Nothobranchius furzeri: one gene and its partners. The protein of the gene in region 1 interacts with the protein of each later gene in a biochemical or structural test. Links are inferred from orthologs where the notes say so. Each region holds a gene or a part of one and is shown in the gene's direction. Other genes may lie near its edges.

The links.
Region 2: the proteins of interferon-induced, double-stranded RNA-activated protein kinase (region 1) and tarbp2 form a complex in vitro, tested with the Homo sapiens proteins (2 studies listed by BioGRID, with this or other methods). The link is inferred for Nothobranchius furzeri from reciprocal best matches to the Homo sapiens genes EIF2AK2 and TARBP2.
Region 3: of the proteins of interferon-induced, double-stranded RNA-activated protein kinase (region 1) and eif2a, one has a biochemical effect on the other in vitro, tested with the Homo sapiens proteins (4 studies listed by BioGRID, with this or other methods). The link is inferred for Nothobranchius furzeri from reciprocal best matches to the Homo sapiens genes EIF2AK2 and EIF2A.
Region 4: the proteins of interferon-induced, double-stranded RNA-activated protein kinase (region 1) and prkra form a complex in vitro, tested with the Homo sapiens proteins (3 studies listed by BioGRID and IntAct, with this or other methods). The link is inferred for Nothobranchius furzeri from reciprocal best matches to the Homo sapiens genes EIF2AK2 and PRKRA.
Region 5: the proteins of interferon-induced, double-stranded RNA-activated protein kinase (region 1) and dhx9 form a complex in vitro, tested with the Homo sapiens proteins (2 studies listed by BioGRID, with this or other methods). The link is inferred for Nothobranchius furzeri from reciprocal best matches to the Homo sapiens genes EIF2AK2 and DHX9.

What each region holds. Positions count from the first base shown.
Region 1 is NC_091752.1:1,789,215-1,794,218, forward strand, and holds part of interferon-induced, double-stranded RNA-activated protein kinase, read left to right. Parts: coding exon 1-85; intron 86-180; coding exon 181-313; intron 314-461; coding exon 462-523; intron 524-3,348; coding exon 3,349-3,424; intron 3,425-3,664; coding exon 3,665-3,717; intron 3,718-3,796; coding exon 3,797-3,916; intron 3,917-4,003; coding exon 4,004-4,126; intron 4,127-4,205; coding exon 4,206-4,410; intron 4,411-4,618; coding exon 4,619-4,762; intron 4,763-4,961; coding exon 4,962-5,004.
Region 2 is NC_091743.1:62,018,165-62,024,821, forward strand, and holds tarbp2 (RISC-loading complex subunit tarbp2), read left to right. Parts: upstream 1-3,060; 5' UTR 3,061-3,203; coding exon 3,204-3,256; intron 3,257-4,039; coding exon 4,040-4,354; intron 4,355-4,515; coding exon 4,516-4,585; intron 4,586-4,695; coding exon 4,696-4,813; intron 4,814-4,929; coding exon 4,930-5,057; intron 5,058-5,220; coding exon 5,221-5,416; intron 5,417-5,510; coding exon 5,511-5,668; 3' UTR 5,669-5,886; downstream 5,887-6,657. UniProt on the Homo sapiens protein: Required for formation of the RNA induced silencing complex (RISC). Component of the RISC loading complex (RLC), also known as the micro-RNA (miRNA) loading complex (miRLC), which is composed of DICER1, AGO2 and TARBP2.
Region 3 is NC_091753.1:55,699,794-55,706,231, reverse strand, and holds the start of eif2a (eukaryotic translation initiation factor 2A), read left to right. Parts: upstream 1-2,735; 5' UTR 2,736-2,816; coding exon 2,817-2,844; intron 2,845-3,468; coding exon 3,469-3,538; intron 3,539-3,626; coding exon 3,627-3,698; intron 3,699-3,776; coding exon 3,777-3,895; intron 3,896-3,974; coding exon 3,975-4,074; intron 4,075-4,143; coding exon 4,144-4,226; intron 4,227-4,357; coding exon 4,358-4,431; intron 4,432-4,495; coding exon 4,496-4,640; intron 4,641-4,706; coding exon 4,707-4,823; intron 4,824-4,924; coding exon 4,925-5,081; intron 5,082-5,365; coding exon 5,366-5,450; intron 5,451-6,438. Other genes in the region: stress-associated endoplasmic reticulum protein 2, read right to left, coding at 1,247-1,319, 1,679-1,762. UniProt on the Homo sapiens protein: Functions in the early steps of protein synthesis of a small number of specific mRNAs. Acts by directing the binding of methionyl-tRNAi to 40S ribosomal subunits.
Region 4 is NC_091754.1:21,791,620-21,798,004, reverse strand, and holds prkra (interferon-inducible double-stranded RNA-dependent protein kinase activator A homolog), read left to right. Parts: upstream 1-2,427; 5' UTR 2,428-2,579; coding exon 2,580-2,617; intron 2,618-2,994; coding exon 2,995-3,170; intron 3,171-3,451; coding exon 3,452-3,533; intron 3,534-3,823; coding exon 3,824-3,902; intron 3,903-4,142; coding exon 4,143-4,261; intron 4,262-4,353; coding exon 4,354-4,447; intron 4,448-4,522; coding exon 4,523-4,685; intron 4,686-4,809; coding exon 4,810-4,967; 3' UTR 4,968-5,169; downstream 5,170-6,385. Other genes in the region: casp10 (caspase-8), read left to right, coding at 1-188, 1,012-1,180. UniProt on the Homo sapiens protein: Activates EIF2AK2/PKR in the absence of double-stranded RNA (dsRNA), leading to phosphorylation of EIF2S1/EFI2-alpha and inhibition of translation and induction of apoptosis.
Region 5 is NC_091751.1:34,778,482-34,785,143, reverse strand, and holds the start of dhx9 (ATP-dependent RNA helicase A), read left to right. Parts: upstream 1-2,473; 5' UTR 2,474-2,628; intron 2,629-3,398; 5' UTR 3,399-3,445; coding exon 3,446-3,556; intron 3,557-3,638; coding exon 3,639-3,779; intron 3,780-6,662. UniProt on the Homo sapiens protein: Multifunctional ATP-dependent nucleic acid helicase that unwinds DNA and RNA in a 3' to 5' direction and that plays important roles in many processes, such as DNA replication, transcriptional activation, post-transcriptional RNA regulation, mRNA translation and RNA-mediated gene silencing.

The sequences.
Region 1 (5,004 bases):
GGATGATTTATCACTACTGTCAGAAAAAAAACTGCCGTCCTTCGTTTATAGAAGTAGAGAGAAGAGGTCCGTCTCATGATCCCTGGTAAGGAGGCCAGTTTTGCAGTTATCACGCCATATTTTGAGTTTTATAAATGTTATTGCCTGATTTTAAACCACACCCACTTTTCTGTAATGCAGTTTTTCCTACAAATTAGTAATAGACAAGAAGGAATACCCTGTTGTTGAGGGCAAGAGTGTTAAAGAAGCCAAACAGAATGCAGCTAAATCCGCCTGGTCTGTTCTTCAGGAACAATCCGATTATGACAGCAAGGTAAATGGTGACATCTAACCTCTCAATGTTATCACATGCAGATGGACACAGCTGGAGATATTCTATCCAGTCTGAATCTCTGCTTCCACTGAGCTGATATTTAAGAGATTTTGATGACTTACTTTTTCACTCTTTATGTGCATTTCAGGTGTCTGTCAGCTCATCCGAGGGCGATGCAGGAATTTCATCACCAACACAGTCAACTCAAAAGTAAGGCACTCAGACAGAACCAGTTTAAAGTGACAGTGTGTAGTTTTTACCGTTAATCTCTGGAAATATCCATCGAAATGTTGTAGTAAATGACTTAAAAGATGCCCAGTTGTTAAAAGATATTGGCAGTTTCATAATATATAACCATAAAAATCTGTTCTAAAATACATGGGAGCGGGTCTGAGGCCCAATCCCAGTACTCACACTTGCGCCTTTCATTTGCGCGTTCCCGGCCAGGGGTGCGAGTGCGTAGGGTGTCCCGATTTTCAAGTGCAGAAGTTGATCACGTCCCCATTGCACCCTTAATCTGCACTTCACCCAAGTCTGCAGCGAAGCGGACCTTGGGCAAGGGTATTACCCACAAGCCATTGCTGCGGAAGAAAAGGCTTAAGTTCCTTTTCTGAAAATATGTATTTTCTAATGAAATTAGTTCATTTTAGGACGATTATTTGCAGCAATAAATGTTAATTTATTTCAAATAGCTGTTTGGCTGTTTGTTTAAAAGTTGTTAATAAAGGTTTTTGAAAAAAGTTTCACAACAACCAGCATCACGGCATGCGTTGCGATCGATAACGCAATGCTCCCTGTCTCAATTCTGCAATTATTTGCACACATGTGTACTACGCACTCGAACCCTACTGCGCACTTTCTCCAAGTGCTCTTTTCTGAAGTCCGCAGGGCGCAGTGTGAGTATTGAGACTGAGTCCAAGTCTCTGGGCAACGCCATATTGTTTCCTTCTATGGAAGTCTATGAGGACAAAATACATTTACTGATTTGTAACGAATGGTTACAACACTTTCACCATTAATAAACGTTGTTTTACACATTTACCTCTTCACTCATTGCCAGTGATGAAAGGGAATCTGATGTTCTTGTTATGTTGCTGGAGGTTGCACTCCCAGGGATTTTTGACCCTAAGGGCCATCCGTTGGTAAGGTCTTATTTGAACACAAAAATAATGTGGAAGCAGTGATTTAGGTATCTACTGCCCCCTATCGCCAGCATCAGGGAGCCTTAGGTAACAAAAGTAGTCAGACCGTGGCGGTAATGTGGCGCAATCGTGTCCTTTTTAGAAAAAAGGGTATGGGGTGATCCCTGTGCTGCCGTAGGCTTCCGTTTATCTTGGACATAACTTGCTTTTTATTACGATTGAAGCCACGCTCATTAAGTTTTGTTCAAAAGCCGTTCCCAAAGGTGTCTATCCTCCACAGCTCCCGTGCAGTCTTTGGTGATCTGAGCTCCAGCTCTAACGGAAAGAAGCTCCTGGAGCTCTGCGTCGCTCCAGTTGATCATCTCAGCATACTGCCTGTATTTACTAGGGCTGTCGCGGTTGAGGAATTCCCCCTGCGGTGATTCAGGGTGGCTTAATATTGCGGTGTGCGATATTATTGCAGCACTTTTTTATTGCAGTACTATCTAAACATAATGTTTACACATTTAAAAAAGGTTAAAAATTGCCGTGCCTTCTTTAATAACACTTTACTGAATGCAGATCAAAGGGCAGTAACAACGCAGATCGCAGTAACGCTTGTTTCTCCGACAGTCGGAGTCCGACTGAACTTAAAAACAACAAAATTCAGGAGGTTAAACTTTTAAATGCAAATTTGGCTGCAGCATCTAACAAATAAGAAACAAGTCCCCATTTTGTTTAGTTGTTTAAAATCAAGCATAAAAAATTACATGTACCGGGCGCGCGCGCGCGCGCCGGGGGGCGGGCGCACTATCATTTCACTTTCACACACACGAATGACGGTGCTTTATAGCTCGGTCACGTCCTTGTTACCTACAAGGAAAACCAGCATGTTAACTACGGTTTGAGAGAGGATCTGAGAGGGGTGGCAACATTTGCAGCAACACTGAAAAGCCTCTCGGATGGTGCGCTCGTTGCACTAACGCACACATACTTGCGTGCGACTCTGGCGAGCAAAGGGAATCTCCCGTTTGTTGCTCCACCATGTCACGGGGGTTTTCTTTAGGGTGGATGCATTCCTCCTGCAGGTAGCGAGTGAGCTCCAGCTCGGCTCAAACTCTCTTTGGGACGGCTGCAGAAGCAGTGCTTGTCCGGGACTTCAGCAGGTCTCCGAGCGTTTATTTATTTATTTGCCGCTGGTGGCAGCTCTGTCTCGGCCAAGGACTCTGGCTGCGCAGCAGCTGACGTACTGAAAACCAAAGCGCTCCCACAGGAGCGAAGTAACGTTTCGTTTTGATACCAGTGCAGCCATCCTTCTCAACATGCATCATTGAGTTGAACCAAGTTCAGTAATCGCGGTGGCGCATGATGCAGCGCGGTGGGCTTCTTCATATCGCGATATTTCATTTTTGCGGTTACCGCGACAGCCCTAGTATTTACTTTAATTTTTAACATAGTTTCTGGCCGGGGCTCGGCAGTAACTCCCCACGTGATCATGACGCCACCTTCTGTTGCACCAAGGCGTAAAATGCATTCACAAGTCTAGCGTTGCGGCAAAATCACTACTGCTTGGTGGCACGGATACAGCAAAATTCCCGCAACGCCATGTCCCCACGGCGCTTTGATAAGACACACAGTGGCGACAGTATTTCGCTGATTTGCTGGCATGGTGTGTCTTCTACAAAAGGCTAATCTCATTGGGGTGGGGCGGTGTTTGTAGGGGGAGGACTCAGGAGTGTGAGACAAGGACAGCTGTTTATTAAACAACAACAATGTTGGAGTACATTTTGTTGTTTTGCATTTGAAGTTTTAGAACCTGATGAAAACCAAAGTAACTTCATTGTGTCCTGATATATAAAACTATAATTAAATTGCTGCCATGATTTGAGAATGTACTTATAATTTGTTTTTCAGAGACTCTAGTGAATTATCACAAAACACGAGTGACTCGGTGATATTTGCTGACTCAGTAAAGCCTCCCAGCAAGCAGGTTTGTTCTATAATAATTCAAATCATTTCTGAAGTGGTTTTTGTCGTCACCCTTGGGTAATCTGTAGGTGTAGGTTTCAAAAACACACACCCTCACTTGTGTTGTTTAGCATTTTAATATTATAACAAGATAATGCTTAGTGAACCGCTCACTTTAGTACTGAATTAAGATTGTTTAAATATTGCAAAGTTGAACATAAACATTGTAGCTGTAGTAAAATCCACTAAATTGTTCTCTTAGGACGTCAAAAGTAAAGCTACTGAACCTGCAGCTTGTACACCAGCTGAGCCAAGGTATGACAGAAACCTTCTGTTGTACTTTAGGATTCATAAAGGATCACTCTTGCCTAAACAGTCTTTTTATATTCTCCAGGTTTAAATCAGATTTTGAAGTCACCGGGCCACTTGGCAGAGGAGGCTTTGGTCGAGTTTACACAGTAAAGGAAAAACTGTTGGGCAAGAATTACGCCGTGAAGATTGTTCGCAGCACAAAGTACGTTAAAGTCATTTTATTAGCAAAGGCATTACAAGAATGACAACATGTATTTTTATTAATAAAGTCATTTATCGTCCCTTTTAGAAAAGCTTTGCGAGAGGTGATCGCATTATCGGACCTCCTGCACACCAACATTGTTAGATACTACAATTGTTGGGAAGAAGATTCAAGATACCAAGATGAGGACTTCAGTGTCAGCTCCTCTGAGTAAGCCTTGTCTAATTTCAAAAAGTTGTCTCTCCTTTTACAACCAACCAACCATGTTATCATTCCCTCTCTGTTGCAGCTCTAAGAGTAGCTCGTGTCAACAATACCTCTACATTAAAATGGAATTATGTAAACAAGAGACCCTTAGAGACTGGATACAAGAGAAGAACATTAATGATCTAAAAGGCCCACAGAGAAGAGCAGAAGGTCTTCCTATTGCCCAGCAGATAGTCAGTGGAGTCGAATGCATTCACTCCAACAACCTCATTCACAGAGACCTCAAGGTGACATTCTTTTTCAAATGTGTTGAATTTAGGAGTCATTAATAGTTTTTTTGTTTGTTTGTTTGTTTTTCTCATCCAGAAATGATTCAAATTTAAGTTTTCAGGCGCCTGAGTGGCTTCAAATATTCTGTTGTAATTAGAAAATAGTATAAATAAAGTTATAAATAATTTATACTCAGTTTAATTGTCTTTGTTTTTTAATCCTCAGCCTGCCAATATAATGTTTGGGAGCGACGGAACGGTGAAGATCGGAGACTTTGGTCTGGCCACAACTGATACAGATGAGAATGATGAAAACCTGCTGGAGAAGACTAAAGGAACTGGAACCAGATCTTACATGGCTCCGGAACAGGTGACTCCTTATTGCAGGATTATTGATAAATGCTATCTTTTTACTTCATGTCACAAATGTATTTCTACTCAGTTTGCTTCATGTACCAAGCATCTTTTTATCTAATGTTTCATTTCATTTCAAAGTCAAAAGTTTTTATGGCTGAAGAGCATTATGTAGCAATAAAACAGCAAGAATAAACGTGTTCTTTATTTCACAGAAGACCGGTAAAAAATATGACCGTAAAGTGGACATGTTCGCTT
Region 2 (6,657 bases), on another chromosome or scaffold:
GTAGAAATTAAGTAAAAATGAAGTTCTGAGGTAAAACTTGGTTACTGCAACCACTTTGAACCACTCTGGAAGTTTTTGCCAGCCGTCGTCTAATTGCAATCGTCGGTGTTGCTGTATTAGCTCACAGGAGACATGGCAACCCCTGTTGGTAAACAGCATATGTCCGTCCTTCCTTTGTTTTGAAAGGAGAAAAAGTGACAATCCCTGCAGCCAGCTGGATATGAAATATGTTTCAGTAGAACCTCGCTTCCAAATTGACTGAAGCATTAGACTCTTTTGGGATTTTCTCACTGTAAAATTTTCACTATTTTCTTACATACTGCACCTTTAAACAAGATAAATGCACAAATACAAGTGTGCCACAGAAAAAGAAAATGATAACACTTGTCAAACTCACTAATTTTCATAGCTGCAAATGTGTCTGCCCTCTTGTGGACCGATGGGAGACAGCTCAAAAAGGACTGCAGTTTAGATTTTTAGTCCTTACTCAACATTTAAAATTGCAATTTTAGATCAAATTTAACAAATGAAGATCAAAAAGAAAATTTGCTTTGTGTAATATATGGCAGACAAGTCTGGCAGCCTCAGCCATCATTCATTCACAGGTCCGAGTGTACTAGTACACGGGCTGAAAATGGAGACATGGTGTTGATGAATGTGGGGGAGCTGAGAGCACCTCTGTGTCTGCTGTGTCCTCCTACTCAGTGAGCAACATGGAGGCAGAGCGTTTATTCTATTCTGGTCCCTGAAAAGGGATTTTTTTCAATAGCTCCTAGGTAAATTAGTCAAAATAACCAAAATCATTTCTCAATTGTGTTACTAAGCCACACCAATGAGACACAGCAGTTTATGACACCTTTCATTTAATTTGATTTTTTATTAGGATTTTTATCCAAAATTAAGGGATTTTTTTTCAATAGATCCTAGCTAAATAATCAACACACCCAAACCCATTTCCTAATTGTGTTACTAAGCCACACCAATGAGACACAGCCGTTTATAAACACTTTCATACAATCTCATCTTTTTTATTAGGATTTTTATCCATAATTAAGGGATTTTTTCAATAGCTCCTAGGTAAATGAGTCAAAATAACCAAAATCATTTCTCAATTGTGTTACTAAGCCACACCAATGAGACACGGCAATTTTTAACAACTTTCATACAATTTGATTTTTTTATTAGGATTTTTATCCAAAATTAAGGGATTTCTTTTTTCAATAGATCCTAGCTAAATAGTCAACACACCCAAACCCATTTCGTAATTGTGTTACTAAGCCACACCAATGAGACACAGCCATTTATAAACACTTTCATACAATCTCATCTTTTTTATTAGGATTTTTATCCATAATTAAGGGATTTTTCCAGTAGCTAGGTAAATTTGTCAAAATACCCAAAACAATTTCTCAGTGTTGTTACTAAGCTAGATCAATGAGACACAGCAGTTGTTAACACCTTTCATGCGATCTGATCATTTTATTAGGATTTTTATAAAAAAAATTAAGGTTTTTTTCAATAGCTCCTAGGTAAATTAGTCAAAATAACCTAAATCATTTCCCAATTGTGTTACTAAACCACACCAATGAGACACAGCAGTTTATTTATTGTAGAATACATTTAGACCACATACATTACTATAATGTATTATAGCAATTAGGGATGAGCATTTTTGACGAATACGAGCATGAAACGAGTAAAACACGTAAATATCCGTAATCGTGCTGAAGGAAAATCCTCATTGGGTAACTGACTGTCTTCACGCTCTGTGATTGGCCAGTCACATAGAGCGCCCGCCCCTCCCTACACAGAAAACTGCAGCCGGCCGGGAGCGCAGTCCGTCCGGCTCATCCGCGCACACACACAGACAGTAACGGATCTCGCTGTGATTGCTTCAATGTTGCTCACGTTTCTTCAGTAATCCCTAGGTTTTCTTCAGCTCGCCTCTTTTTCGGTTGAATATTTAAAGTTACTTTTTTCGTAACTTACTTGGTGCATTTGATAAGACAGAGCTGACGTGCTGTGTTAGTCACTACCTCCGCTCCCAGGGTCAGATTAACACTTAGTTGTACCCTGGGCAACAATATTAAAGGTCCCCATCATCACGACCCAAGGATCACCATAATATGGTCACATACAGAATATTTTACTGTAATATGCAGTAAATATACTCAATACTTGAATGCCTGACATCATGTAACCCGCTCAGGGTAACCTTTGACCCACCTCGTGTGGAATGACCAATGAGGAGAGGGTCTAAACTTGAGGCCCTCTCTTCATTGGTCAGTCTGAATGAGACTGACTCTCAACTGGCGTTCAAAGTCATAGGCAGCGAAGCATCTCTGTGCAGCGCAAAAGCCCGGGTGGACAGTTTGTTTAATGTAGGGTGATCATATTTCCATTTCCAAACAAGAGGACAGGGGATCTGTGCCTATGACGTCACACTATGGCAACGCCACACAAACCACGTTGGGACCCATTTTTTTGTAAGAACTAAATTAATATCAGATTCTGCCAATAAAACGGCTCTAAAACAATTCATATGTAAATATTTAGCATATTTCTTGCAAAATCTCATTTTTCTGCTTTAGTGCTGCAACAAGGTTTTATTAATAAGAAATCATTATACCTTTTGTATAACCTAACCTAAACATGCACTCAAATATTTCATACAAAATATCTGACCTCTTATCAGCTGACATTTCTTTAATTGATAACAATGCTGACATGGAGTCTGAGCAAATAATACTTTTCCTAACACCATTTTGTTCTATCCACTGTAAACTAAATGAAATGGCTAACATTTCCACTGTATAAACTGACAGATTATTAGATGTTCGACTTTTATAATATATACTTAATGTCGGAATCCAGAAAGAAAATCCCGTTATATTTCCTGACACTTTCGACCCATCAGTATATTTAGGGATGAATGCTTGATGAGTGTCATTCCCACCTTCTGAGGCACAGAAGGCATTTGGGCCAATCGGGGCTTACGCTGCCCAGGACGCAATCTACGTCATAATCGTGTGACCGAGGTTGTCGCTGTAGAGGTGGTTTCGTCTTCTGGTATCCATCATGTTGCAGCTTTAGCTCATCGTTTTGGGACAACAATAAATACCGTCTAATGAGAGTACGTGTCTGTTGTGGCGGGGGGGATTTTACATCCGAAACCGAGCGGTTCTGTCTGCGCGAAACGGGGAATGAACGACGAGACAGCTTCGGATAGCTGGAAGAGAAACTCCGGGGACTCCAGGTGGGATTGTCTTCTTGATAAAAGCCATTTGTATGTAAACAATATAAAATGTCAGAGTCAAAGGCCTCAGAAACTAACGCGTGCATGTTGTTTTAAGTGTTTAATCTTCTGTTATTCTTTTAATCTCTACAGCTTAACTGTTTGACTCATCGTTAATACTCTTTATCTGGTGGCTTTTTACTGCTAGGTTGATTTTTGAGGGATTATTGTAATCTGGAAGGCAACAGGTGGTCAAAAACACTAATATAATGTTTTCCTAAATGTAAAGATCGGCATAAATTACACAAATCTCTTTATTCCATTTGTAATATATGTAATAAAATAAGCTGATTGCAAACATTTCTGGTTCAAATCTTCATTCCAGATGGCTGTAGCTGCCGCCTCACAAATAAATCATTGAATAAAAGTGCCTTCTTTTACTCTGATAATGTAAATAATAGAGTTTTATTGGTTTGTGCCCATTTCCTTTGTACACTGTGAAGAATCTCACCTCAAAACACCACACTTATTATTTGGGTCAGTATTCATTTGGCAAATAATAGTATTTTTTTTCTTGGAAACATATTTCACAGATTGAGCCTTAAAGATGGCACACTTTTCCTATTTCTTGTTGCATTTCGTGAAACTAAAATATAGACAAGTGTAGTTTTTCCACTGAACATTGTAGCGTATGCCCTTTAGATTTTAGCAGCAATAAACTAGCCACATTGTTGTGTTTTGATCTCAGTAAAGATGATAACAAAATAAGTGAACAGCTGCTTATGCTTTCTATCTTTTAAATAGTATTGAGCAAATGCTGGCTGTGAATCCTGGAAAGACGCCCATCAGTCTGCTGCAGGAGTATGGAACGCGGATAGGCAAAACCCCAGTGTACGACCTGCTGAAGGCGGAGGGACAGGCCCACCAGCCCAACTTCACATTCCGCGTCTCCGTCGGAGAGATCAGCTGCACCGGCCAAGGGCCCAGCAAGAAGGCAGCTAAGCACAAAGCAGCTGAGGCTGCTCTGAAGATGCTCAAAGGAAGCCTCGGAGATCCAGCTGGAGTCGCTGTCGGAGAAGACGTGTTTATCGAGGTTGATGTGTCTATTGACGGAGACTGGTCAGGACCCTACTTCATTTTAAAATGTAGAAAAGAACCTAGCGATGCTTAAGTGATGCTTAATGGCTTGTCTTGATTGGATCCAGACGATGTTTCAACATTGAGTTGATGGAAGAGAGAGATTTGTGTGGATTTAGTCTGTCCTCTCATGTTTTATGCAGCTCTCAGTCAGAGATGAAGACTTCCAGCAGTTCTCAACAGTCGGAATGTAACCCCGTTGGGGCGCTGCAGGTAACTACGCCATAGAGACTTTATTTTATCCTGGTAATCCACAACACTGGTTTCTGTTAGAATATTTCTATAGTTTCCTTCCTTTTTTTTTCTGTTTTGATTTACTTCAGGAGTTGGTGGTGCAGAAAGGATGGCGTTTGCCAGAGTACACGGTCACTCAGGAGTCGGGTCCAGCACATCGAAAAGAGTTTACCATGACCTGCAGAGTGGAGAGATTTGTAGAAATTGGTAAATCTTCTCTCATTCTTGTTTGATATCTGCATGTTGTGCTTTCACGCTCAATTGGATTTGTCAAAATCTGCTTTTATGCCAAGTGAAGGAGTGATTTCCTTTTTCCTGTCCAGGAAGTGGCACATCTAAGAAGTTAGCCAAGAGGAATGCAGCCGCTAAGATGCTCTCACGGATCCACGACGTTCCAGTGGACCTGAGGAGCAGCAACGAGGCAGATGCAGAAGAAGATACCTTCAATTTGGTGAGAGCTAAACACCACAGCAGTGATTTATATGCTTGCGCTTAAATTTCTTGTGCAATTCTCAAAATATCACAAACTGTGCCCATGTTATGGTGATGAAGCTTCTCTGCTTGGCTCTACTGTGTCTGTGTAAAACGTGTATAAAATCATCCCATTTACGCAGCACATGGGCAGCAGAGCGGAGTCGGGTAAAAGCAAAAGTTTCAGCTGCACCTGGGATTCTCTGCGTAACTCTGCTGGAGAGAAGATCCTGCAGCTCCGCAGCCACCCTCTGGGAATGCCAGCTGGCTCCAACTTCTGCTCGTTGCTGAGCGACCTGTCCGTGGAGCAGCGCTTTGATGTCAGTTACCTCGACCTCGGTGAGCTCACGCTCAACAGCACAACAGGAGCACCGTAAAGCGGTTAGAAACTCCTCGTTTTTTTTCTTCACATCCATGCTTGTTTGTTTTTCAGAGGAGCGCAGCCTCAGCGGCCGCTGTCAGTGTCTGGTGGAGCTGTCCACACAACCCATCACTGTGTGTCATGGCTTTGCTCCGAACGTAGAAGCTGCTCGAGCCCACGCGGCTCACAATGCACTGCAGTACCTTAAAATCATGGCAGGAGGAAAATGAGACACCTGGGCGCGTTTTTTGTCCGCAGACCCGAACTCGCCACCACGCGATGCCAATGTACACCTCCTTGTTGTACAGTAGAGGCTTTTTGACCTCAGATTGGTTAAGAGACATTTTTATCCTGCCTTGAAGCTAAACACAAGTTTATCTCTAGTTCATTTGTTGTCCAGCTGGTGAAAATCTCACAGCCTAAAACTCAAACCCACTCCCTTGATATTTTGTGTACTTGTGACAGATTGTTTTAGGAAAAAAAATTGTTTTTAGCCCATTTATCCTTCATATAATTAGCTGTTTTCTTACATATGAAGTTTAAAATATATACATGACGTCATAAATGATGCACTTTTGAGTCATATGTCACAAATGATGTTAGTTGAAATTAATAATTTTAAGTATGTTTTAAAATAATCAGCTTGTCTGATTTGAGTTCAAATTAATGGAGAAATTTGACTTTGTCGTTTTTTTCCTCAAATCTTTGTGTTTTATTTTACAACAAAATCAACGTCGGAGCGAATATCCATGAATGAACCATCTTTGACAAATTCTAGTAACTTTTTTTGAGTTTTGTAAAGGTCTTTTCTGTTTTGAAGTACTTGTCATGAAATAAAATATGATCCTTTTTTTAAAATACATTTAGAATACCAAACCCTGATAAGCTTTGTGATCTCAGACCAGGTGAATAAAGCTGTTAGACTCGTGCTGAGTATAATTACCTCAAGACGTTTGTGTTTGTGACGCCTAGAATTTAACCCAGTGTTTGACTTTTATTTTGATAGTTTAAATTTTAGTTTCAGTGTGATGATGTCACCAAATCTACACGTTTAGCCCCAAATTAATAAGAAAATGTCTTGTTATTTGGATCAATTAGTTATTTTAGACTGTGCAGTGATGTTTTCACCCTGTAAATGACAGAGTGAACACTTTTCAGTAAGGAACCAAAAATATTCTTAAAGTACAACCACCTCTGATTATTGTAAAGGAGGAAGTTA
Region 3 (6,438 bases), on another chromosome or scaffold:
ACGATTACTGCCTGATGACATTTTCCCACATCTGCAAAGCTCACTGGAAGGACACAAACCGAGGACGATATTTTCCTGATATAGGGTTTATTACTCAAGTAAGGGTAAAAAAGTATCTGATTAGAAGGCTACTTGAGTTCTGAGTATCATCTGATCTAATATTTTTAAAATGATGACATCAAACAGACAAAAAATAAGTAGTTATGGGCAAATATTGTATTTTAAAGACTAAAGGGGAAAAATGTAAACAAATAAACAACATAATTACAAAATAAAACATTTTAGGCTAAATTTAGACACAAACTGAGGACAATATTTTCCTGATATACAGGGTTTATTTAGTTTTCTGAAAATGTAACATGTTTAAAAAAAATATATGCCACATAAAATATACGATAATACCGAAAACCGTGATAATTTTGGTCAGAATAACCGTGAGGTTAAATTTTCACACCGTGACAACCCTACCTAGTGGTGGAGTGTCCACCCTAGGAGTGGGAGATCAGGATTCAAATCCCAGTCGGGTCATACCAAAGACTTTAAAAATGGGACCCAATGCCTGATACCCACTCAGTTTTAAGAGGTTAGACCACCAAATAGTTCCGGAGTGCAGCAACACCACTCCCCATGGGGACGGTTGAAATGTGGCGATGTGATTTCACCAATGTGTGACGATGACTAATTGGACTTTTACAATTTTACCATTATCATCGTTTCCAATGTGTTTTATTAGGTGTTTGCTCTGAAGGTTTGATCATAAGTGATCTGGGCTCAGCTGCTGGACTCTGATAAGAGTCCCACCTCCTGTCAAGAACAGACCTGAGCCAGTCTGAGCATGCTCAGATGTACACCACCTGGTGTTGGTTACCAATCAGGCCACCAACAGACACCAGGGCACCATGACCTACCAGCTTCACTTCCTACTGGTCAACCTGCTCGTCGGAAAAGCCATCAGAGCAACCTGATTTTATGATGTCATCAACAGCTGACAGACGCATCATGTTTGGAAGTTTGAATAAAACATGTGTTGTTAGTTCTAAAGATGTTGCTTCTCATCTAAAGAGCAATTATAGTTCAAACTGGAAAGATTTAAGCTAAGAAGAGTGGTTGAGCTTGTGTGACTAAACAAACTCCGCCCACATTGAGATGGCACCACGGGTACATTTAAGGGTTTTGGCCACTTTTTTCAAGTGATTACATGAGAAGACGCTCATACATTACATGAAACATCAAACGGTAGGCTTACCTGATCCACAGACAACAAAGATGAAGAGAGCTAGAAGCCAGGGCCCCACACCTTTTACGTCTTCCAAGTTCCTCTGAAACAAAAACGGTGCCTTTTTTACTGAGCAACACTGAAGATGTCATCAATTTAAACCTTTTTCCTCTCTCACTTGATCTCTCGCCAATCGTGTGCTTTTATTTTGGAAATTGGAATTACGGTTTCCTGTTGCGTGTCTAATCGAACGGTTCTGATCGATCCCATGGACACCAACATCCCAGCTAGTTTGATTAAAAGGAATAATCGATCAGCTGAGTGCTTAGATAAAGCATCTTTACACGCTCCAGCCGCCTGATCACGTTCTAAACGGTTTTTGGGTCAGCTGATCAGTCGGTGGGATCAGGAGGACCAGCTGTGACTGTGTGGTTTTGGTTCGGGATCGGTTCTTTAACTCACCATTGACTTGGCCACGTTCCCGCGCTGCGTGATGTTCTTACTGTGTTTCTCGTTCGCCATGCGGATTCTCTGTTTAGCCACCATCTTGTCTGGTTGTTTATTCGCTTTTAATTGTTTTTATTTACTCGTCTCTCGCGCCGCCTCGCTGTTCCATGGACTGGGAAGAACTCCAGATTGTCTACGTACTCAAAAAGCTAAAGCCCCGCCTCATTCCAGTAAACCACGCCCACAGGTTGCGTGACACCCGTGTAAAGCTAGTGGTCATCCAAAATAAGGTTTCCTGTTCATTCTTTCAAAAGAAAAGGCTGAAACTATAGGATTAATGAAATATGCAAATACGCAAAAAATGTTTATCTCAAACGTGACAAAGGCTTCAACGTTTTATTAAGTGTATAAATATTGTTCAAAATGAAGCTGGTGAGGCAGATACAGCATATAAGATTTCATCCTCACAAATGAATGCATGCATTTTAAAAGGCCTAAATAAAGAAATTAAAAGATGTTAGTGCCAGGAGCTGGTTGTGTCAAACTAGAAACCACCTCATCCACCAAAATATTTTTATTACCATTCTAGTGCATTTGCAGATGCAATCGCAATTTAAATTTGTTTGAATTTTCAGCTAAGCTGGTCATGAACTTTGTTGTTTTCATTTTTTCTATAAGTCGCTTAAATTGGGCTAAACGAATTTAGAATCTTAACTTTTGAAATGTTTTTTTTTATTTAGCCTGGTGGAGCACACAAAAAATATCAAAACAAAGTTTTACCACTTACTCTAAAATTTAGTGTTTTGACAAACAAGTCAATAGTGAAAGTCTATTCTTTTATTGTGAAAAGGAAATTTAGCCAATTTTTTGTTAATTTCTACAACTTGATCTCTTTTTTTTATCTACATCGCTTTATTTTACATAAAAAATCGTTTTGCATTATATTCAATAAATTCCGCTAGAATGTGTTCATTGAAACAAAACGAGTTGATATTTGAGTCTTAAGAGAAACGTTTTTATTCAATTTGAAACAGAAACTCTTGTTGCTAATCGGTGTTTTACGCTGATGTGGCACTGAGGAGCCCGCCTACTTCCGCTGTGACGCATTTCCGGAAGGTCTTTGGTTCCTACCTACCTTCCTACACATGTAAACATGGCGCCCCCCGTGCCGCTGTTAGCAGGTAAATTAGGTTTAAACTCTTTGTTTTTTGAACGAGTTTATATGTTTACACCGATCCGATAGCGACCTTTTAGTGAAAATAAATCTGATTTCAATGTTTTATTGCAGCTTTATTCGTCAAAAATGCTTTATTAACGTGTCTATCACGTCTGTGACACGAAAGTTTCCTAATAAAGGTTCAAATAAAGGCGAATTTTTAATTTTACCTGGTGGACTAGGAGCTCTGATGCACCGAGCTGAAGCGGTTTTACTAGAATTTCCTGACCCCGACAGACTGAAATCTTCACAAGTTAAAATGAAATGAATTTGGGTCAGAATAACAAATCAGATGATTTTCATTTATTTTATTTAACCTCCCAACATTTTCCCTGTTTTATTAATAAGAGCAGGGTTTGTTAACCCATTGTCCTGATGACGTCTCTGATATCTGGACCATTAGAGGTGTTATTTCATTAATAACACCTGGACACTCGCTGGTCCAGACCTGTTATTTTCCTGCTTCCTGGTAACAGGTTTGAGGCTTTGTGCTGCGGACCAGGCAGTGGTACCTCTACAGAGACCAGGTTGTTGCACGGATGTCTTCCTGCTGGTTCTAGACACAAATGACCTGCTGTTTCTGTTTCAGTCCGAGGATCAGAGGGAACGTCTCTGCTGAGTGGACCCCCCCGCTGTGAGCCCCACCCTGCCTTTCAGAGGTAAGGGTTCACTTCTGACTGTCCACAGATGGATGGACGGAAAGACAGATGGACAGATGAGCATCAACCTTTTTTGTTTGCTTCTCAGGGACACCCATCCCAGCAGGTGCCTCACCTTCAGCACAGATGGGACACTCTTTGGATGGTGCAACGGACGCAGGTAGACTTTCATCGTCTTGTCTCCTATCGACGTGATGATGGATGCTAATGCTCAAGTGACTGTCTTTCTTTCATTCAGTGTCCACGTGGTCAAATGTATAGATGGGTCCACAGTGTCCAACTTTGAACTCCCAAAGACAGCTCTGATAGAGTTTTCTCCCCTCAACAACATCCTGGTTACCTGGCAACCATACACCAGTAAGACTTTAGAGGACATATGGTGGAGGATGAATCAGACGTGACAGAGTGAACGAGGCTTTCTCTTTGGTCTCTGCAGAGACGCAGGACAGTCCTCAGGGCGAGGCCAACCTCCGGCTGTGGGAGTTACCAAGCGGCCGTCCAATCAAATCTCTGTATCAGAAAAAGGTGGACTCCTGGTGAGTCTGGAGGCCTCAGTCTACTCACTGATTGGTTGTTGAAATTCTAATGAGGTCTCTTGTCCTCAGGTGTCCCATCTGGTCTGAAGATGAGAAGATCTGTGTGAGGAGCGTCAACAATGAGCTGCACTTCTACGAGAACAACGACTTCAGTAAGAAACTTGTTCATCTGCTTCAGTGGGGGTGTAGTAGGTGGTGGTCTACAGGAGTGGCTGGTAAACCAGGGCAGCCCTGGTCTCAGATCCGGATCCGGACGTCTAAAGACCAGAATGTTTTGTTTCAGACTCCATCGCCAACAAGCTGCACATGCAGAAAGTATCGGACTTCGCTCTCTCACCTGGAACTCAGCCAAGCAAGGTGAGGAAAAGTGGACAGGAAGACTCAATCCAGGTCCGGCTGTCTGATCCGTTTGTCCCTACAGGTTGCCGTCTACGTTCCAGGAAGCAAAGGAGCTCCGTCGTTTGTGAGGCTCTATCAATATCCAGCTCTGGAAGGTCCGAGCGCCGCGCTCGCCAACAAAAGCTTCTTCAAGGCAGACCGGGTCAGCATGCACTGGAACAGGAAAGGTGAGAGTCCAGAACGGCTGCAGAAGCCGGGGTTCCCTAAAGCTAACCTGTGGGTTGTTCCCTCAGCGTCGGCAGTCCTGGTGACGGCGAGCACCGAGGTGGATAAAAGCGGGGCATCGTACTATGGAGAGCAGACGCTGCACTACCTGGCCGTGAATGGAGAGACGGCGGTGGTACAGCTCGGTAAGAACTGGGTTCGGACAACACTTCCAGTCATCCATTAAACCAGAACCAGAACTTTGTTCTGACGCACTCACCCTGCCTCTCTTTTTGAATTCAAACAGCGAAGAACGGACCTATCTATGACGTGGTCTGGAGTCCAAACTCCTCCGAGTTCTGTGTGGTGTACGGCTTCATGCCCGCCAAAGCCACTGTATTCAACCTGAAATGCGAGCCCATATTCGACTTCGGAACCGGGCCCAGAAATGCCGCCTACTACAGGTGAGCCTGAGATCAGTCTCCATCGCAGGTCCAGACTGAACCAGCTGGTACCAGAACCTGTCGGCACAACTTTATACTCTTGCTTTCCACTCCGAGGTCGAAGGTTCTAGAGTCACCATCAGATGGTTCTGAGTCTGCCTCTAATGTACAGAACCAGAACTGATAAGCTCAGTTCAACTTAATGTTCAGGTCTGTTTGAGTCTTGATCCAACCTGCTCAGTGTCGGATCAGAACCGGTTCTGTGACTGTAGTACTGTTGAGTAAACCGTCCTTTCTGGTCTCAGTCCTCAGGGCCACATCCTGGTTCTGGCTGGCTTTGGGAACCTGCAGGGGCAGATGGAGGTCTGGGACGTGAGGAAGTACAAACAGGTGAGCACGTGAGTCAGAACCCGTGTGTGACTGCTGACAGAATCTGAACCTGCAGCCCCGCCCTCTCCAGATCCAGATGTCTTCTGGGTCTGTACTAGAGCCCTGCGTTGGACTGTTTTCTTCATCCCGCTCCTGCCCGCCCCCGCTGAATTTCTGACCATTACCGCCCGCAACCACAACGTGTGTGTTACACTCCCGCCCGCAACCGCAGCGTGCATGTCTACACACTCCCGCCCGCAACCGCAGCGTGCATGTCTACACACTCCCGCCCGCAACCGCAGCGTGCATGTCTACACACTCCCGCCCGCAACCGCAAAACTCTGAGAAATTATTACCTCACAATAAAAGAGGTATTGAGTTTGCGTCCTCTCTGGTCCTGGAGAAAACATGTCATTTTATAGGCTATACCAGGGGTCGGCAACCCGCGGCCCTTCCATCCATCTGATGCGGCTCTCTGTGCTTGTAAAATAATGAATGGATATTTAAATAAAAAGCTTTATATTTTACTGAAATAATTTAATATCTGTATGTTAATTCCAAATGTAAAGATTGTCTTCGTAAACCTGAACAGTTCCAACCCGGTCTTACTGTGAGACCGGGTTGACGCGTCACGCTTGTGCGTAATCACATCGGCGCTTTCTGAGCTGAAGAGGATGTGAGATTCTGGGCTTCTCCTCAGACGGCTCCTGGATGTGTCGCCACATTGGAGACAAGAACAAGCGCTATTCAGCCAAAGTTTCATAATCAGGGAACATTTTCTAAGTGGATGCCACATAAAGGGGTGGCTTGCCAACTCCGGGTCGGGGGAGAGGTCCTACCTCAAGTGGAGGAGTTTAAGTATCTCGGGGTCTTGTTCACGAGTGAGGGTAGGAGGGATCGGGAGATCGACAGGCGGATTGGTTCGGCGTCTGCAGTGATGCGGACGCTGAGCCGATCTGTCGTGGTGAAGAGGGAGCTGAGCCAGAAAGCCAGGCTCTCGATTTACCGG
Region 4 (6,385 bases), on another chromosome or scaffold:
ACTGATGGCATAGAAACAGAAGACAAGGACATTTGTTCTGATGCAAGAGTTCCTGACACCATTCCATCAAGAGCAGATTTCCTGCTGGGAATGGCCACCGTTCCGTCTTATGTGTCCTACAGAGACAAGAAAAGTGGCACCTGGTATATCCAGTCATTGTGCCGAAACCTCATCCAAATGGTGCCGCAGTAAGTAAAGTGCGATATCTGTACTGTTTGGAGGTGTTTTTCTCTTATTGTTACACTTTGCTCATTGTTTCATCTACCTGCCTAACAGGTCTGTCTCTTCTTTTCTATGATATGATTGGTCGTAAAAAGGCAACCCCAGTCCACACTGGAGGTATTAACGGCAGCGGAACGGTTTACTCGCGTGTTTCGTGGCGTGTTAATCCATGTCAAGAAGCATCTCAGATGCGGAACGGCTTCTCCTCCATCCTCCTCTTTTAACTGGTAGAATCACAAAATTCCACGAGACTTCAAAGATCACTGTTTGTTTGTGCCATCCACCATTTAACCAAAAAGAAGAAGGAGATCACATTTGATGTCGTATTTAATGTTGTGCCTCTCCACTGCTAGGACAAAAAACACCGTTGCATTTCTTGAAAGATGCTGGGAGTAAATAATCCGTTAGGTCACATGTATTGATGTAATCTTGATGGATAAAAAATTGCATTTGTGCAATAGTATTTGTTTTAAAGCTGGACGTTGCACACGGATACCGTGTGGGATTGCCCTGTCTAGCTCTATGTTACCTGTGGAAATTGATATGTCCCAGAAGTGGCCTGTGGCAAAAATGGAACCCAATCCTGTCTTTAGCGGCGCAGAGAGCCATTTCTGGGACACACCTAAAATGTCCTGTGTCGCGTTCGGTCTGGATCAACCCTTAGACTATAATGGATTCTATTTGAAGCAGAGATGTTCCGTGCCGCTGACGCCTCCAGTGTGCTTTGGGGGTTACTGTATCTAAGTGGTGTTTTTGTCATCGTCTCACAGCATCTCTTGTCTTTCTCAGGGAGGTTGATCTCATCTCTATCCTGACACAAGTGAACGCCGATGTGAGCAAGATGTCTGCTGATAAGTGGGGTCAGACAAAGCAGATGCCTCAACCAGCCTTCTCACTCCGCAAAAGAGTGGTCTTCCCCATTCCCAAAACACCTCCTCCTGAGTTGAAAACCTTCTGATCTCCTGTTAATAGAATGTAATGATCCCTGGGAGGCCGATTCCACACACTGTTTACATCTTTAAATATTGGTGCGTGTCTGTGTGACCGTTATTTGTATGTTTATTGATGAGCTCTTGTAAAAGCCCAGGAGTCTGCCTAGTTATTTCCAAAGAAGCTGAGTGTGCCAAATTTCAGCGCCTTGACACGACATTCTAATTCTGAACATGTTTTATGTTTCATTTGAGTTGGTGTTAGGTCTTAGTTTTTGCTGCAGAATGGAGTCTGCCTAGTTATTTCCAAAGAAGCTGAGTGTGCCAAATTTCAGCGCCTTGACACGACATTCTAATTCTGAACATGTTTTATGTTTCATTTGAGTTGGTGTTAGGTCTTAGTTTTTGCTGCAGAATGATTTTATTTAAATTGTCCCTGATGTGGCACTTTATATAGCCAAAGCAATAAGCATTTAGACTGAAAATGAATTTATTACCAACTTTGTTTTCTACTGCTATCTAGGTGTAATCATGACAAATTCAAGCCTCTAAACAATCTTAACTGTTCAACAGTACTATATATATATATTTTTTTTAATTTCTTAAAGAATATATTTCTTATCAAATACATTAGTGGAAATGTTCTGGGTGCTTATGTCCAACAGTTATTGGATGAGAGGCAGAGTCTGACCTGGACAGAGTCTCAAAGGGACAAACTTCTACTCACATACACACCTAGGGTCTAATAGAATTGACAATTACTCAAACATGCATGTTTTTGCACATTAGGAGAAAGCCTGAGTTGGTGTGTATGGAGAGAAAATGCAAACTATGCAAGGTTCCAGCTGGGATTTGAACCCAGGATCTTTTGATGCATGGCAACAGTATTTATGGCATTTCCGTGTTCTTTGTCAAAATAGTAAAATGTGGCTATTTAGATTATTGTAATGGGAATAGAAAAAAATGTCAAATGAACAAAGTTGATGAAAAATAAACTTTGATACAAAGTATGCTTTGTCTAAGAGTAACCTGGAAAAAAACTGGTTTCCTATTATAATTAGTTTTCAAAACTGAAATAAAATTTGTGTCAATTTAGTCTTACTTAATTTTTGCATCACATAAATACATTTTATTTATTGTTTTGCTAAAACGTTCCCCCCACTAGTGAGATACAATTTTAGGTTTTTGATTGCAGTCCATTATCTCAACCAGCAGGGGGTGCACTAAATCGCTGCAACCACTTCCGCTGACCCGGATGTGAACACGACTTTTATTTCCCTTTTTCTCCAGGAAGGATGCAGCATTTTCTTCGTTTAGAAACATGAATATGTTTAATGTGAAGAAAACCTGAAGCATTAGATTATATTTATCTTTATTTTTTAAGTTTCCACCAGATAAATTCCTGCTGACCTCCGTAAATAATCCAACATGTCTCAACAGGGGTATCAGTCACCGGACGACAAAAGGTTTGTAGCGTTATTATTTACAAGTTAAATTCAAATCATTTACAGAAACTAGTTAATGATTTTATCTTCTTGTGTGCGTAAAAACAACAGTACGGTTTAAATGGACGCTTCAAACCATTACATTGAAAACCAACGGTTATACATACATTTATTTCTCCTATTTAACAGATTATAGATTGTTTTTGTGATGAAACAACAAAATAATTTTATATTAGAAGTAATCATGAAATACTCGCAATTAGCTACAGTTCCTATTTTTCCTAAACAGTTTGGTAGACACCATATAAAATTCATAAAATATAATTTGTTCAACCAAAATAACCCCAGATTAACCTGTAACAAAGGTTGCATGTTATTGTTTCTTTGTTAAATATAAGTTTGGATTCACAAGAAGCAGAATGGGCCAGCCTGGGGAAGACCCCGATCCAAATCCTGCATGAGTATGGGACTGCCAGTGGGAACGCTCCTGTGTACGAGATGGAGAAAGCTGAAGGAAGTGGCCACCAGCCCAGCTTCTTCTTCAGCGTGAGAGTTGCAGACATTCGGTGTACAGGTAGGTACTACCTAGGTACTTCCTAACTCAGGAGGTAATTTATTGTTGAGGTTTCATGCTGAAAATCCAGTTAGAACTCACTGATCACGTTACAGGTTAGTCTTTTGCTGCTGTAAACTCTTAAATGCATCATCAGCGTGTCCCGTTGCACTTCCAGCGTAGACCTGTGCAAAGAAAATTAAAAATAATTGCAAAAATTTTAAGCTAGAAATTAAAATCTGTGATAAGATTCACTTAATTTTGCTTTTGAAACAAATTTGTTTCGTTATATTTTATTTCAGGTCAAGGTCCTACTAAAAAGGCTGCTAAACACCAGGCTGCAAGTGCTGCGCTGAAGCTGTTGAACCTCGATTCTAAAAAATTGTGAGTGAAGTCAAAACTATTTGCTTACCATTAGTTCATTTACCTGGTTTTTACAGCGAAAACCAAAGAATGTACAGCTTCTATCGGGGTCTCATATGTGAATATTTTAATGCTGCTTAGGCTGCAATAGGAATTTTATTTGTAGTTAAATAATTTGACAGCATTATCTGTAAAGTTATAGAACAAATATATTCAGCAACGTCAGTCGTCAGAAGTTTTGCGTTTTGTTGTATTTATTTGATTTCTTATAACTGTTGAAGCTCTAATGTGTTTGACGTGACGCCCAATAGGACCTCTCCTGGGAAGTCCGACACCAACGGGGATGCAGCGGATGCAAACTACAATCCCAGCTCTGTGTCCCTTCTGCAGGTGTGATCACGTTACATCTTTTATATGTCACGTTTGCTTTTGTGAAAATGTAAAATTATTGTTTTATGTAATTTCTGACGGTCTGTGTTACAGAAGAGAGTACTTATCTTGCTGCAGCTGTTTTACAGTCATGTTTGTATTATTTAACCTTTAAGCAACTGATCAAGGGTGTCATTTTAGTTAATTATATATCATTTTTCTCTTCATATTAATTGACCTAAAATTAAAAATTATTATTAGGAGTTAACGATCCAGAGAGGATGGCGTCGGCCTGAATATGCAGTTCTAGCTGAGTCTGGTCCACCACATCAGAGGGAGTTCACTGTCGCTTGTAGATTTGACTCTCTTACAGAAAAAGGAAAGATTAAACATTTTTTTCAGTCATTTAAATAGTTTGTTTGTTTTGGTTCTGTTGTTTTAATCCTGTTTTATTTATTTATTTATTTTTAGGTGTTGGAAGTTCTAAAAAAGCAGCAAAAAGGGAGGCTGCAGAGAAAATTGTGGCAAAGCTTCAAAGTTTGTCAGGCGGTCCGGAGATCACCTGGGTGAGTCAGGTCTTTCATTTCACCTCCTAAAACATCCACAAGATGTTTGAAATGTTCTTGTTGCTGGTTTTTCAGACTCCTAAACCGAGTGTCCTCCTCGAGAATGTGAAAAAGTCCTCCGCAGAAAAGATTTCCCTACTGAGGAGAAGCCCGCTGAACATTCCCAACGCGGATTACATTCAGATGTTGTTGGATCTGTCCCACGAGCAGGGCTTCGAGGTCACATACTATGATATTGGTAAGAATTTAGTGCTTTGGTTGATGTTTGGAGGCTTCTTTTATCCCGAAAGGCAGAAAAACAGACTCAGGGGAGACCCTATGTCTGCCTGTAGAAAATCCCTGACTGTGTTCATGTCTGACAGATGAGCTGACTGTAAACGGACAGTACCAGTGCCTGGCAGAACTATCCACCGACCCCGTCACCATGTGTCACGGCACCGGCATCTCCTGCAGCAACGCTCACAATGTGGCGGCACATAGCGCGCTCCAGTACATCAAGATCGTAGCCTCCAGCAAATAGACACATCCGCCTGACCACAGCAATCACAGATATCAGCTGACGGCTCGTCATAACAAGGTCCTCCTGCAATATGAGCTGAAGATCGGTGAAGTGTGTGTTTATTATGGTGTGTATGTGTGTGTGAAAACGGTTTCATTCTTATGCTTGCTGTAAAATCATTGGGATTTGTAAAGATTTATTTTTGTAGTCATGTAGAGCGGCTTCAGACACCACAGAAATGATAGATCAGTGATTTATTTAGCCCCCCCCCCCCCCCCAGTGTTGCATTTTCCCCATATATGCAGCTTTACTTTGACCAGGATGTACTTTTTATTATGATATGAGGATTGTTTGCATTTCATTCCACAACTGAAATAGAATTTGTATTTATTTTACTTTTAACACTATTGAGTCTGTCGAGTGGAATCAGCAGCTTTATTTTTGTGTTTGGGGAAGAAAGTAAATGTTAAAGCTCAAAAACCAGTCCAATCCTGTTGTCTGTTGCTGTTGCTCCTGTGGGGTGCCTCATTATATAAATAAGCAAACTAATATATTTATCAGAAATGTCCTGGCCTGTGCTTGCTGTTATAAAAAATTAACCCTGAGTGCAGAAAATAACACCGATCTGAACCTTAACGTTTGTGTCTGTTATTGTTTGTTTAGGTTTTATTAGTTCATCAAGAATCGCATCTTCAAATTCTAACAATACCATCAGAATCAGATAATGCATTAATTATTAATTTTTTCAGTAAAAAGGCAAATTTTTTAATGTCAAGGCTTTGTATTTTTCTATTGAAAGTAAATATTATACAAATCAAAAATATTCATAAATTATTTACACATGCTAAATTCATTTTCCTTCAGATTTCTAGTTTAATCATTAAAATACTCCAGATTACCAAATTAAGCTTCTTGAAAACGCAGTTTTCATAGAAAATGGTTAATTTATGTGATATCGCCACCTACTGGTCAGACATTTTAAGACAAAAGGTGTTCAAAATGTGTTTTAATATTAATCTATCATACTTGCGTGTCTTGCGGATTGGTGCTGCATCTGCAGTGATGTGGGCGTTGTACCGGTCTGTCGTGGTGAAGAGAGCTGAGTCAGAAGGCGAAGCTCTCGATTTACCGGTAGATCTACGTTCCTACCCTCACCTATGGTCATGAGCTTTGGGCAGTGACTGAAAGAAGGAGATCGCGGATACAAGCGGCCGAAATGAGTTTTCTCCGAAGAGTAGCTGGGCTCTCCCTTAGAGATAGGGTGAGAAGCTCGGTCATTTGGGAGGGGCTCGGAGTAGACCCGCTGCTCCTCCACATCGAGAAGAGTCAGTTGAGGTAGCTAGGGCGTCTGGCCAGGATGCCTCCTGGACGCCTCCCTGGTGAGGTTTTCCGGGCACGTCCAACCGGGAGGAGACCTAAAGGTAGACCCAGGACACGGT
Region 5 (6,662 bases), on another chromosome or scaffold:
TAATCTTTCTATCATAATCATGATAGATATATTTTTAAAGGCTCCATTAAAAAAATTATTTTCACATTTTCTTTCTGTGATGTTCATTTCTCCTATTAATAAATTAGGAAGTTTTATTTGAACATTAGAGAAGAGAATTGTGTTTTTTATCATTTGTATCAAAGTCACTGGTATAGCCTTACATACTTTCTCATATTCCTGAATAGAACATTGAATGTTATTAAATTTGTATTTAAAATTCTGTAGCTGTAGTATTTCACCATCTTTATCCATAACATCGTGTCCAAAGATAATTCCGTGATAATACCACTGTTGGTTAAACAAAGACTTTCTGTTTGAAAAAATTCTCGATTATTCAACAAGGTGGCACAATGAGGAGTAAAATTATGGGTAAATACCATCTTCCAATAATGCAATACTTGTTTGTGAAATTCAGATCATTTAAAAGGCAATTTAGTGATTTCAAAGTCACATTTCAAAAAAAAGTTTAGCCCCCCAAACTTCTTGAAGATATTTTTTGGAATATGAAACCAAATTGTATCTGTCTTTAATAGAAACTCTTTCAGCCACTTTGTTTTAAATGTTCCCAGCATTGCTTCAAAATCCACAGATTTCATACCTCCATTTTTATGTTCTTTGACTAACTGGGATTTTTTTATATAATGGGTTTTATTTCTCCATATAAATTTGTATATAATAGCATTAATATTTTTCACTGTTTTTGGAGCAATATAAAGGGATTGACATGGATATATCAGTTGGGAAAAACCCTCAGACTTGGACAATAAATTTCGCCCAAAAATAAAAAGATCTCTGCTAAGCCATTGGTTCAGAGTTTTTTGTATTTGATCAGTTTTTTTCTTTCATATATTTCTTCTCTTTGTTTTTTGTCTGCAACTATCTTAACTCCTAGATATTTTATTTCTTTTTTAACAGGAATTGACATTATCTCATTATCTGTGCATTCATACAGTGAAAGTTACTCACATTTTTTGTGTTCAGACGAAGACCTGATGCTTTGGAAAAAAATGAAATAATTTGTAATTCTTTGTTAACCATAGATTTATCCTTTAGAAAAAAAAACAGTGTCATCTGCAAACTGACTTAAACAAAATTCAAAATCAAAAAATGTATACCCTGAAAATTTGGATGATTTATTACTAGATATGCTAATAGTTGTGTACATAAGATAAACAGTTTGGGGCTGATTGGACATCCTTGTCTTATTCCACAAGTTATATTTATTATTTTTGTTAGTCCTGGGTTTAAGGAAACATAACTGTTAATATCAGTATAGAACATTTTTATCACTGAACAAATTTTTTTTCTAAAACCGAAATATTCTAGGGTGGAAAATAAAAAATTATGTTCTATAGAATCAAAAGCTTTGAAATAGTCTATAAATAAAATGAGGCTGTCCGTTTCCAAAATAGACCAATAATCCAGTATATCCAGTACTAATCTCACATTATTATGTATGCTTCTTCCTTTTATAAACGCAGACTGATTATTATCTACTATTTTATCAATTACCGTTTTCAGTCTTTCTAATAGCGCTAATAATTTATAATCATTGCACAATAGAGTAATTGGCCTCCAGTTGTCTAAGTCTGTTGTATCTTTTTTTGGTTTGGGAAGAAGGGTTATTATTCCAGTTTTCATTGTTGGGGTAAGACATCCTTCATTTATACACTCATTAAATGTACTTAATAACAATTCTTGAACATCTTCCCAAAAAAAATTAAGAAATTCTGAGGTCAATCCATCAATACCGGGCGATTTCCCATTTTTCTTTTTTTTTCAGGTAATTTTCTACTTCGTTAATATTCAAATCATCCTCCAGATTTTTCCTGTCTTCCTCTCCAATAGATTTAATATTGTTCTTTATCTGAGTGAAGAAGGATTTACATTCCTCCTCACAGAAATTAGAACAATATAGGTCTGAGTAAAAACGTTGAACTTTCTCCTTTATTTGATTTTGGTCTACTATTACAGTGTCATTTTTTTAAATTTGCATATTTTCTTTTTGGATTGTCTAGACTTTTCTAATCCATAAAAATATGTTGAGTTCTTTTTAGTGCAACTTAGTATGATGGGTATGATCTGACAAGCTACGGGTGGCGTGGCGCTGTGGCTCATCCTTCATTAATTTAATTGAAAACATCTAAAGGTTGGAAAAGTAATAACACCACCCTGCAGTTTAACTCAACTGTGCCACCTTGTTGTAATCATTTTTTAATCAGTCGTTTAGTCGTTTATGCCTAAGTATCGCCCGAAGCTTCCTCGTGAACAACCAGTGGCAGTGGCGTTACAGGATCTGCTCGGGAACACACCGGAAATGAGTGCTACGTCGAGGTCTGTTCGCCCATGTATTATGTCGTATTCATGTCCATGCATAAAACAAGCCTCGATATTTAATGAAGTATATATATCAGGAGGCTTTGTTGTTTCATGTGTGTTCTTTTACATTTTAGCCAGGGATACGTGGAAAGGAACCACACTAAATAAGTAGTGGAACCATTGAAATGTATATAATCTAAACCAAAGCCATTTTGGAGGGGACACATATCAACGTCACACAGACCATTCATCCGGCATTTGCGTTTGCTTTGGTTGTTTTGGTCGAATGTGAGTAAAAAACAATTTGAATATTAACTGTCTTTATTCTCGTTGCGTTTCTTACTTGGGTTAGAAGGTATGTCGGTGAAAACGTAAACGGTGTGTCTACAGTTGGCTAGAAGCTAATGCTAGGCGCTAATCTCATCGGTTCACTCACGTTAAAGCTGAAAACGTTACCTCAGTTTGTACTCTTGACGGAATGTAGCTCGTTGTAACCATCGACATAAATATACGTTGTAACACGCTGTTATCTTTATTATAAGTAAATAGCAATAATTAAAGCTTGCATTTTACATCAAACCCTTCCGGCATGTTTGCTAACGGTAGCTAATTAAAAGGCACGAGAAAAAACAGTCCGATTCAAAACAAGTGTTTGAGTTTCATTATAAGATCCAGATGCCCCGCCTGATTGCCCATTGACCGCTGGAGATGGGCACCAGACCCCCGCGATCCTACGTGGACAAAGCGGGTTCAGACAATGGATGAATGAATACGATCCAGAACCACCATAGAAGTAAAGATGTCCATGGAAACAGCGGACACAGAGTTTCAGGCTAAACTCCAGCGGACGTGATGTTCATTAATCCCCTAAAGGCAGTTTGGTTCTAATTCTCCTGCTCGGAATTTTTTTTCCTCAACAAAGATCATTTTATCGTTTAAGCTGCCACCGTTAATCACATTTATTCTGATCTGCTCGCTCGTCTTGTCCAGCTGAGGCAGATGTTTTATGTATTAGTGAGGATGCATCTGTACTTTAAAATGTTTATGTAATTCTTAAGACCAGAGAGTCCACAGAGGAGGAAAGTCCCCTTCCTGTCAGTCCACCATGGCGGACATCAAGAACTTCCTCTATGCCTGGTGTGGGAAGAAGAAACTGACTCCAAGCTACGATATTCAAGCTGCAGGAAACAAAATCAGGCAGAAGTTTAAGTGTGAGGTGAGTCCTCCACCTGGTTCACCTGAGGATGCCGTCTCTCTCCCTCTTTATGGTTCTGACCATAAACACTCTGTGCCTGCAGGTTCGTGTTGATGGCTTCAACTACACAGGGATGGGGAACTCCACCAACAAGAAGGATGCTCAGACCAACGCAGCCCGGGATTTTGTCAATTATCTGGTCCGAATTGGACAAATGAGTGCAGCTGAGGTTCCTGCTCTTGGGGTCAGTTCTGTTTAGTTTTTACTCTGAATGGTTTTTGTGTTTACAAACATTCACACTGGTGATGTAGGCTTAGGGTTTCCCAGAGGGATGCACCAAAAATGTTGGCCACCAAAACATTTGGCTGAAAATGACCCGAAGGTGCTTTTTCTGTTTTTTAGCCGAGACAGACCTCCGCCCTCATGTGGCAACTTGCTCTTTGCTTCATAAAAATCATACATTCGTACTGATTTCAAAAGGATAGTAAAGTTTTCTTCTTTTTAGTAATGCTGTTTTATTCCGATCACTGAAATTATCATATCGATTATATATGCAACACACTTTAACTGTTTTCACATCTACCGCGTCTGCCTGACTTTTTTTTTGCTCTTTGACATTCCCCTATATCTGTCACTATTAGCGATGTTCCTTTCTGCACCCAAATATGTCCTGAACAGTGAAATAAGCTTTGGATCGTGTGTGTGAGGCGTGTTTACACTCATGAAGCACACAGACACTGTTGCTGCTGTGCAGCTGCAGTGTCTCTTTCTTCCTCACTGAGAACGAGTGATTGTCTTTATCCGAGGGTGAATATTACTCTTCAGAATCAGTCGGCCATTACCAGACAACTTTGTCAACAGTTAACTCTATGTACTCCGAACACTTTAACAGAAACACCAGAAAGTGTTACTCAGCTTGAAGTTACACTACACTGTCTTTTGGTGTAAAGTAAGAACTTCATGAGGGATTATATTTGCAGCTGTGGCTCGTTAAACACAATATTTCGACTTTGGCACCTAAAGGGTTAATTATACGGCCTTTCTCAGCATGCCTGTCAGTTTTAAGTCTGTACATTTATAATTTGTAATATATCAGTTTATTGCCAGACTTGAAGTCCATTTTAAAAGAAAATAACATAATGATAAAAAAATAACATACAAGATAAACACAGGGAGAAAAAAAAAGATACCAATTAACATGAATACTAATAAGATCCTATATAAAACACAGGATATAACTGCAGCGGGAGTAAGGGACAACAAAACTAACTAGTTGAGATAAATCTACCCCAACATTTTAACCAGTGCTTTCTCAGCCTAGACAACTAACGAGAGCAGCTCACAGTGGGATGTGAATGCAACTATAATACTATTGGAAGATTCAGCCGTCTCATGAACTTGAATATTAAATTTCTTAGAAGCGCCTTAAATGTGCACACTCAGAAACTAACGTTTAACTAGCACTGCCTCCCCTGGGAATTTTGAAGAGGATTCTCATTGCATCGTTGTAGGCCACTTGTAGCCTGTGCAAGCTAGACTTTTATAGAATGACCACAGATGTGCAGTATATAGTGGTGTGCAGTATGCTTTAAATAATGCCACTTTAACAGGTGTGGAACAACTGCTACATTTCCCTGCAGTGGTGTTTGCTTGCACATATAGCTTGCCTGTAAATATCATCATCGTCACTCATATTGGCTGTGATAAAGTGTCCAAGATATTTTATCTTCTCACAGACCGTAAGACTGTTGCCGGACAAAATGAACACAGGAAACTTACGCTTTTTATCCTGGATGGTTCTGTAGATTAGAACAGCACTTTTGCTTGAGTTATATTTTAAATCATAGTCCATTCCATACCCAGTACTAACATCTAGGAGCTGCTGCATTCCTGCACTACTTGGGCAAAAACTACAAGGTCATCCGCATACATAAGGTGATTAATCCGAACATCACCTATCAAACAGCCCGTGTTACAAGCTCTCAAGACGCCCAGATGACTCATCAACATATACGTTGAACAAAACTGGAGATACATTTCCACCCTGCCTTACCCCATTGGACCAAGCCCCCACAATGCGGCTCAAAACTTGAGTCCAACGCGGAAGTACCAAAAATTGCAGTTCCACCCTCATCCGCTGGGGGCTGGTGTCAGAAGCGAGCAAATCCTCATTGACTCCCATGTTAAAAATACCAATTTCACAGCAGAAATAAACATGTTTACAGCCTGGTACCAAAACATGTTTTTGTTTTAAATTATCTAGTTTACACTCATGACAACTCTGAGGGGGGTGAATTTTTTTTCTCACTCTTCTGTTTAAGTGTATTAAAAGCCTAAAATTCTGTATAATTAATGAGCATCAGACCCACGTGACCACAGAGCTAGCTCCGTGGAAAGACCTCAGTAGAGCCTCGGCCTGGCTTGGAAACTGCTCCGGGATTTTGAGTCTCTGTGTGTGTGTATTCTTTTTTGGATATTTTTTGTGCAATGGTTGGACAAAATGACTTGCTGTGGCATTAATTGCACTAATAGAGCATCCAAGGAGTCTCCACTTCATTTTTTTCTATAAGTAAAATTACATTTATGTATTTTAGGTCACTGCCGAGCTGAGCTTAGATTTTAACTTGTACTGTTAAACCATGAAATTTAAATGTAATAGGGTAAAACCCAGTGCATTTAACATAATGCTGCACTTTAGAAAATGGGTTGAAATATAACATGTTGGTGGAGCTGGGTTCCGACTATCGGCTTGTGGAGCTCTCGGGAGACCGATGTTTTCCACCCGTTCTCCCCAGCGGCAGCTCAGCTCAGCTGTCTGATCGCGGCTTGTCTGCTGCGCGGGCTGCCGGCTTGTGGAGCTCTGGGATGGAAACCTTTCCACCCAGTTCTCCACAGCGGCAGCTCTGCGCATCTCAGATCGCAGCGGCGCTTGTCTGCTGTGCGGCTGCCGGCTTGTGGAGGTCTGGAGACCTCTGTGTTCCACCCGGTTTTACCCAGCGGTCAGCCCGGCGTATCTCTGACTCAGAAGCTCTGGTGTTGTGCACAGTTAACTCCTGTTGTAGCTAGGTTGCTACCTCCGTTAGCTTAGCTCCCACCTCCGCATTAGCTTTGGGTTAGCTTCAGGTTA